2 linked regions of the Macaca mulatta genome follow. The protein of the gene in region 2 interacts with the protein of the main gene of each other region in a pairwise test. Links are inferred from orthologs where the notes say so. Each region holds a gene or a part of one and is shown on either strand. Other genes may lie near its edges.

Evidence for each region.
Region 1: the proteins of GMCL1 (region 2) and GLRX3 interact in a two-hybrid assay, tested with the Homo sapiens proteins (2 studies listed by BioGRID and IntAct). The two-hybrid records come from large-scale screens. The link is inferred for Macaca mulatta from reciprocal best matches to the Homo sapiens genes GMCL1 and GLRX3.

What each region holds. Positions count from the first base shown.
Region 1 is NC_133414.1:142,176,977-142,181,089, reverse strand, and holds the start of GLRX3 (glutaredoxin-3), read right to left. Parts: upstream 2,801-4,113; 5' UTR 2,779-2,800; coding exon 2,687-2,778; intron 1-2,686. UniProt on the Homo sapiens protein: Together with BOLA2, acts as a cytosolic iron-sulfur (Fe-S) cluster assembly factor that facilitates [2Fe-2S] cluster insertion into a subset of cytosolic proteins.
Region 2 is NC_133418.1:54,922,776-54,927,070, forward strand, and holds the start of GMCL1 (germ cell-less protein-like 1), read right to left. Parts: upstream 2,805-4,295; 5' UTR 2,577-2,804; coding exon 2,317-2,576; intron 1-2,316. UniProt on the Homo sapiens protein: Possible function in spermatogenesis. Enhances the degradation of MDM2 and increases the amount of p53 probably by modulating the nucleocytoplasmic transport.

The sequences.
Region 1 (4,113 bases), on a different chromosome or scaffold from region 2:
AAAAAAAAAAACTTTTATCCATTTTGATAGTTTAAGGACTTTTTAAAACATGAAGCATTTAAAACAAACATATAAAACACATAGACAAAACAGTCTTTTCAGGTGATGGTAAATTCAAAACGTTTACTTAGGGCAGGTCCACACAAGACCACCTGCTCATTTCAAGAGGTCACTTCTGGTGACTCCCGTGATTGTGCTGATCTGTACTGGATGAGTCAGAGCCCAGCTTCCATCAGTGAGTAAATGTCACATGTCCCCCCGACAACCCCTGCTTTTTTTCCTTAACAATTTCCCAGGTAAACCTGAAATGCCTAAAGAGCTGTGTTATTTCATCACCCCCATAAAGCATTTCTAACCATTAGTCAGTAACTCTCACCCCTCCCCCTTTCCAAAGGCAACACCCCATCTCACCTGCACTCTCCATTGCAAAATCAGAGTATACTACTTGCCTCTAATTCAAATTCAGTCAGCAAAATTTCACTCCATTTAGATCAACAGTGCTGGTCACGGTGGCTCAAGCCTGTAATCCCAATACTTTACAAGGCCGAGGCAGGTGAATCACTTGAGCTCAGGAGTTCCAGAGACCAGCCTGGGCAACATGAAGAAACCCTGTCTCGCCGGGCGCGGTGGCTCAAGCCTGTAATCCCAGCACTTTGGGAGGCCGAGACGGGCGGATCACGAGGTCGGAAGATCGAGACCATCCTGGCTAACACAGTGAAACCCCGTCTCTACTAAAAATACAAAAAAAAAAAAACTTAGCCGGGCTAGGTGGCGGGCGCCTGTAGTCCCAGCTACTCGGGAGGCTGAGGCAGGAGAATGGCGTAAACCCGGGAGGCGGAGCTTGCAGTGAACTGAGATCCGGCCACTGCACTCCAGCCTGGGTGACAGAGCAAGACTCCGTCTCAAAAAAAAAAAAAAAAGAAACCCTGTCTCTACGAAAAATACACAAATTAGCCCAGCGTGGTGGACCGCACGTGTAGTCCCAGCTACTCAGGAGGCTGTGGTGGGAGGATCGCCTGAACCCAGGAGGTAGAGGCTGCAGTGAGCCGAGATCACGCCACTGCACTCAGCCTGGGCAACAGAGCAACAGCCTGTTTTGAAAACAAAACAAAACAAAATCTGGATCAATAAGCATTTTTGGCCAGATGTGGTAGCTCACACCTGTAATCCCAACCCTTTAGTAGGCTGAGGAGGATAGATCGCTTGAGTCCAGAAGGTCGAGACAAGGCTGGGCAACGCGGAGAGACCTCGTCTCTACAAAAAAAATATAAAAATTAGCCGGGCGTGGTGGTGAGCACCTGTGGTCCCAGCTACTCGAGAGGCTAAGATGCGAGGATGAGGTGGGTGGATCACTTGAGCCTGCGAGGCTGAGGCTGCAGGGAGCCGTGATCACTCCCCTACACTGCAGCCTAGGTGACTGAGCCAGACCCTGTCTCAAAAACAAAACAAAACAAAGTATATTTTGCCTGTGAATTCCATGAACCACTCTGCTTCCTACCTAAGGGCCAACATCTACTGAGTGTTTCCTGCATACTAGGCATTGTATTAATTGTATTTTACATACGTCATCTCATTTAACCCTCACAACAACCCTGAGGTACTAATAGGTGCTGATCTATTTCATCGTTGGGAAACTGAGGCTTGGGTATGAAATGTGCCCAGGGGTTACACGGCTAGTGAGTGGCTGCGGTGGGACTGGATCCCAGGCAATCCGACAGAAGAGCTCCCGTAGCAACCGCTATTAATACAACTAAGAGAACAACTCAGTCCTTGGAGTAGTCTACAATGTGAGGTGGTATTACCACGGGGAGTCCACGCGCAGACCTTTCCCCGCAAACACGCACGCCAGTAAGCATTTACTCGTAAGCATGCTTGCAGTTCAGAGCTTCTAGTCCACCCAGAAAACTTTTTCTATGCATTCCTATGGATCTCCTTTTGTCTTCCCGGGATGGAAGACTTGACACCGGTGCCAAATCTGAACAGACTCTCACTACACCAGTTCATGGAACAGGAAACCTCTGTCTCCGGCAACAGGTTCGGTCTGAAGACTGAGGCTACCTGCTGACCAACAAACTTTAAAGGCTGACTTCAAAAGGCAGCCAGGCCTAGCTAATGCAGCGGGGCCTTCCCCAGCCGCTCTTCCTGCGACAGGGGCGTTCCTGAAGGGAGGCTGAAGAGGAATGGGCCGACGACGGGTCTGCAGCTCCCTCCCGGCGGGCACAGGAAAGGTGGAGCCCGCAGCCATGGGTCCCCGCTCCGTGGCGCGGTGGGCCGGGGTCTCGGCACCGCCCCGTCCCCCGCCCCGCCGCTGCGGCAAGGCTGAGTCACCGCCTCCGTCCCGCTGCGGGGCCGCCCAGGCCAGAGGACGGGAAGGTCGCGTCCCCCGGGCTTGGACAGCCGTCGGGGTCGGAGCGAGGGCCGGGGCCGGGGCTGCGAGAAAAGCCTCGAGCCCTGCTCGCTGTTCCGGGGCGGGGAGCCCGCGGTTCGGGCCAGTCAGCGCCGGAGGCTCGGGGGAATCCCCGGTTGGGCCGGGCCCGGTCCCCCGAGGCCGAAGCGAGCCGGGCGCCAAGGAGCCGGGCTGGGCCACCCGCCGCCCCACACCGGCCCGGTCTCGCGGCCACTCCCGGCCCGGTCTCGCGGCCTCTCCCGCCGGCTCCTCACTCCTGCCACTCGCCGCCTCGCTTACTTGGCTTTGAGGCGCAGCAGCTCCTCAAACTGCCCGGCTGAGCCGACCTCCTCCAGCGCCGCTACAGCTGCTTCAGCCGCCCCCGCCGCCATGCTGCCGCCGCCAGACAGAAGCAATCGCGTGCCGGCGGCCGGATGTAGGCGGGGCCGCGGAGAGCTTAGCGGCTGCGCGAGGGAAAGCCCCGCCCCTGCCTGCGCTGAAGCTACAGAGCCTGAGAAATCCCAGAAAGGGCCTCGGCCGCGGGCGCTGAATCCCGCTGGGTGGCTCTGGATCCCGCTGGGTGGCTCTGGATCCCGCTGAGGGGCTCTGACCCTGCCAGGTCTGGGCACTCCGCTGCGGACCTCCTGGCTTCCGGAGTTCATGGCTGTCATGGTTCCTGGCTGTCAGGGCTGTCGGGGCTCCCTGGCTGTAGTGGCTCCTGGCTGTAGGTGCTCCTGGCCCTATAAGGGCTTCTGGCTATAGTGGCTTCTGGCCGTCCAGGCCCCTGGCTGTAGGGGTTCCTGGCTGTAATGGCTCCTGGCTGTCGGGACCCCTGGATGTCGGGGTTCCTGGCTGTAGGGGCTCCTGGCTGTAGGCGCTCCTGGCTATAGTGGCTTCTGGCTGTCGGGACCCCTGGATGTCGGGGTTCCTGGCTGTAGGGGCTCCTGGGTGTTAGAGTTCCTGGCTTTCTGGCTATAGTAGGGGCTCCTGGGTGTCAGGGTTCCTTGCTGTCAGTACTCCTGGTGGTAGAGGCTTCTGGCTGTTGGGGTTCCTGGGTGTGGGGGCTCCTGGCTGTCAGGGTTCCTGGCTGTCAGGGCACTTGACTCCTTAGGCTCCTGGCTTTTGGGGCTCCAGACCTTCCTTGCACTTCCTGTGTCTCCTGGGTCTGCAATAGTGAGAAGGGGCCGGTGGAGGAGTGGGGGTGAGACGTGAGTGAAAGTGAAATCAGATGTGTACATTTAGGAAGCTGAAATTATCAAAAATGAAATTGCATAAAGGTGAGGAAGAACTGGGAGGTTTGGGAACAGAAGTGGTAGATCTTGAACTTCACAGACCCGGTGCTTCCAACTCAGTCCTGAATTCAGACCTGAACCTGGAGCCCACAGCATGTCCCTCCTCCCCTGGCCTCCGCGCCTGCCACCACTCATTGCAGCCCCACCAAGCCATCACCCATTGTAACCTCAGAACAATGGATTCTGCTGGGTGGGTCCACTGGGTTGGGGGCATGGGTCCAAGATCCCTGCATTCCTCCTCCCTGGCCTCCTCAAGTGGTCCCTGGCTTGTCTTTCTCCCTTGGGAATCCCCCTGATTTGGGCTCTCCATGTGGCGTACTCTGTATCGCCATGCTTCCCACACACTTTCTGGCCTGAGTAATCTCCACTCCCCCAGTGACATCAACCTCCAGGGAAACCTCAACAGCCAGCCCAGAACCCTCCCCTGCACCCCAG
Region 2 (4,295 bases):
CTTCTGCCTCAGCGTACCAAGTAGCTGGGATTACAGGCGCCCGCCACCACGCCTGGTTAATTTTTATATTTTTAGTAGAGACAGAGTTTCGCCATGTTGGCCAGGCTGGTTTTGAACTCCTGACCTCAGGTGATCTGTCTGCCTCAGTCTCCCAAAGTGCTGGGATTATAGGCATGAGCCACTGCGCCTGGCCAAGAACTCAGAATTTGAACTCTTAAAACTATGCCACAGGTTGGCAACGGTGGCTCACACCTGTAATCCCAACACTTTGGGAGGTCAAGGCAAGAGGATCACTTGAACCCAGGAGTTCAAGGCCAGCCTGGGTGGGCAACAGAGTGAGACCTTGTTTCTACAAATAAAAAAATTAGCTGGGTGTGGTGGTGCATGCCTGTGGTCTCAGCTACACAGAAGGCTGAGGTGGGAGAATTGCCTGAGTCTGTGAGGTCGAGGTGGAGTGAGCCATGATCCCACCACTGCATTCCAGCCTGGGCGACAGAGCGAGACCCTGTCTCAAAAAAGAAAAAAAATTTTCCAAAAAAAAAAAACTATGCTACACTGACTCTTCAAAAAGGTTACAGGGTCAGGCATGGTGGCTCACACCTGTAATCTGAGCACTTTGGGAGGCTGAGGTGGGAGGGTCGCTTCAGCCCAGGTGTTTGAGACCACCCTGGGCAATATAGTGAGACCCCTGTCTCTTTAGAAAAAAACTCCAAAAATCAAATAAACAACAAAAAAAGTTACTGAATAGTATTCACAGTAGGGGTCCATTTTTGTAAATAAATAAAAATATTCATTAAAAAAGGTACAAAAGGTTTTATAAACCAAACTATTGAGTTTTTAATCTATGATTCCTTTTTTACAATATGCAACACTTGTATAGCAAAACCTTTTTGAATCTGCTCATAAAGTTTAATTTTACGCTGGGTGCGCAGTGGCTCACGCCTATAATTCCAGCACTTTGGGAGGATGAGGCCAGCAGATCACCTGAGGTTGGGAGTTTGAGACAAGCTTGGCCAACATGATGAAACCTGTCTCTACTAAAAATAGAAAACATTAGCCAGGCATGGTGGTGCGTGTCTGTAGTCCCAGCTACTCGGGAGGCTGAGGCACAAGAATCGCTTGAACCAGGAAGTGGAGGTTGCAGTGAGTTGAGATCGCACCACTGCACTCCGGCCTGGGTGACAGAGCAAGGCTCTGTCTGAAAAATAAAAAAAGAAAAAGAGGCCGGGCACGGTGGCTCAAGCCTGTAATCCCAGCACTTTAGGAGGCCGAGATGGGCGGATCCCGAGGTCAGGAGATCGAGACCATCCTGGCTAACACGGTGAAACCCCGTCTCTACTAAAAAATACAAAAAACTAGCCAGGCGAGGTGGCGGGTGCCTGTAGTCCCAGCTACTCGGGAGGCTGAGGCAGGAGAATGGCGTAAACCCGGGAGGTGGAGCTTGCAGTGAGCTGAGATCCGGCCACTGCACCCCAGCCTGGGCGACAGAGCAAGACTCCGTCTCAAAAAAAAAAAAAAAAAAAGAAAAAAAGAAAAAGAAATCATTAAAAAAATTTCATCTGTGACCCTACCAAATCACCTTTAAAAACAAAAGCAGAAAAACCAAATTGTTTGTGTAAGAATATATTCTACCCATAAACTACATTCCAATTCCAGGTCACAAGTCAATATTCCATCTTTCAACTCATCAAAAAAAAAAAAAAAAAAAAACAGTTAAGCAAGCTGCAGCAGCACCGCCCTACATACAGTACATCCACGGTCAACGACATCAACTGCTAGAAACTTGCACAAACTCTGTTCCTGGTTAGGAACAAATGTACACTATTGATAAACTTCACCTTTACGATTAACGAGAACTCCTGTGTGCAATTATTTCCCCTCCACTGAGTGGGCGACAGTAAGAGTGCCCATTTCAGAGATTACATTTAGTGTCTGTACTAAAGCAACCGGATGCAAAACAACTTAGTCTGCGGCTACCCACTTGAGAGGGCAAAGGTGGACTGGTAAGGCCAGCCAGCCGGGCGTCTCTAAGGTTTAACGAGACGCGAGCTCGGGCTTGGCGTTTCTCATCCTCATCTTGGGGCTGTAACAACACCCTGGAAGCGTCTGTGGTTAAAAATGCAGAACACCAGGCGTCTCCCAAGGCGCTCCCCCGTCCGCCCGGCATCGGGCCGGCTTCCACATTCACTTGTCAAGGGCACGACCCCTCTTCATAGGCTGGGGAGCGCTGCACCCCGCAAGCGCACCGGGCGCCGGCTCGGCCCCAGGCCCAACAGGTGCGGGTCCGGGTCCGCGCGAGTGCGTGCCCCCACGTACCTTCGAGGGGTGTTGAGGAGCCGCTGCTGCTCGTCCCCCTCCTCCTCATCCTCATCCGTCTCCGAGTCAGGGTGACAGTAGCAGAAGGCCCCGCTGCTCCGCTTGCGCTTGTGGCTGCCCGGACAGTAACAGAAGCCGTGGCCCGCCGCATCGTCTCCAGTGTCCGGCCTCCGGGCCGAGCCCCCCGCCCTGGCACCCTGCGCCTGCTGGGCAAGGGCTCGTCTAGGCTGGCGCAGCACCCGGCTGCTCAACGATCCCATGGGTCACGGCTCCCCGAGACTTCAGGGAGCCCAGAGAAGGGGGTCTCCCGCCATGGCCCGGCCGCCGCCGCCAGCCTTCCCCGAGCGCAGATGCCTACACCGCCACCTTCTCACGCGCAGCCCCAACCGTTGCAGCGGACGCTACAGCCTCCATCCTCCGCCCCGCCCGCAGCTTCTGGTCGCTCCGCGCGCTAGCACCGCAGAACCTCGCCCCCTCGCTTTCGTAACAAAGCGCGCGCCGGCGGGCGCATGCGTGTGGCGAGCCTCCGGAAGGGGCGGGGCAAGGCAGGCGTGCGTGCGTGGCAGGTGGAGCCTGCGCACAACGCGGCGTGCTCGTACGGGCGGGTGTTTTCGGGCTTGCGGTGGGGCTGGCTTCCAACTAACGTGAACTTAGGCGTAGACGCAGTGTTAAGCCGTAGTTCACACACGCCTTTGTAGTGGCAAGACTTGGAACTTCAGTCGCGCATTCTTTCTACAAAGGTGCCTTGAGCCCCCGGTGCTTATGGGCCTGTGCTAAGCAAGTGGCAAAACCCCGAAGCTATTTGGTCTCCTTGCGGGAGCTCGGCGCTTGCTGGGGCCGCGCTCTGCTTTGTTGGGCGTGGCCTCCTGTGAGAGGGGCCCTAGGATGAGGCGCTATGCTGGATTCCTGGGCTTCCTTAACTGGAGCCCTACCCTGCTGTAGACGTGAAAGGAACCCGTTAAGTTATGGGAACGTTCCCGGCACTCCTTTTCTTTCCTATCAAGTGCCAGTGGGATGTCCGAATAGGGTCTGGCACCATGACTGTCCGTACTCAAAAAAGTGCCTTCAGGAGGCCCTAGCAAAATTGACAAGTGTCTGCCTGGAGGAGCTGCTCTTGTGATGGACTCCGGACAGCGAGCGTTCACTCCCTGACTCCCTTCTGTTACTTTTTAAGTAAAATAATAAAAATATTTCTCCTGTGGACCCACCACTAGCTTGAAATTTTATCATACTTGGTTTCATTCTTTTTTTCCTCTCCGCTTTATTGAGGTGTAATCAATGATTCATTCTTTTTAAATAGAACAATACAGATAGGCAGAAGCCCCTGTGTACCTCCTCCATCTCATTCTGTCTCCCTCCCCAGTGGCAATCACTGTGCTGAGAATGTTGTATATTATTATGTCCATGTATGTCCTTATATGCGTACCCATATTTTCTTTTGCATGTTTAGACATATCATGGAACGGAATCATAGCTGTACCTCTCACTGTGCACCTTTCTCCTCTCAAAATTATACTCTCGAGATTTGTCCATTTGGTCAATTGCTAGATAATTTTCACTGCTCATTGAATGACTGAACCATATTTGTTTTTACATTCCTTAGTAAGAGGTTATTTCTTTTTTTTTTTTTTTTTGAGACGGAGTCTCGCTCTGTCGCCCAGGCTGGAGTGCAGTGGCGCGATCTCGGCTCACTGCAAGCTCCGCCTCCCGGGTTCACGCCATTCTCCTGCCTCAGCCTCCCGAGTAGCTGGGACTACAGGCGCCCACAACCGCGCCCGGCTAATTTTTTGTATTTTTAGTAGAGACGGGGTTTCACCGTGGTCTCGATCTCCTGACCTTGTGATCCGCCCGCCTCGGCCTCCCAAAGCGCTGGGATTACAGGCGTGAGCCACCGCGCCCGGCCGTGAGAGGTTATTTCTACTTTAACGGCCTTACAGAGCAGCAATGAACATCATGTGCAATGGATTCGCCAAGCCGAT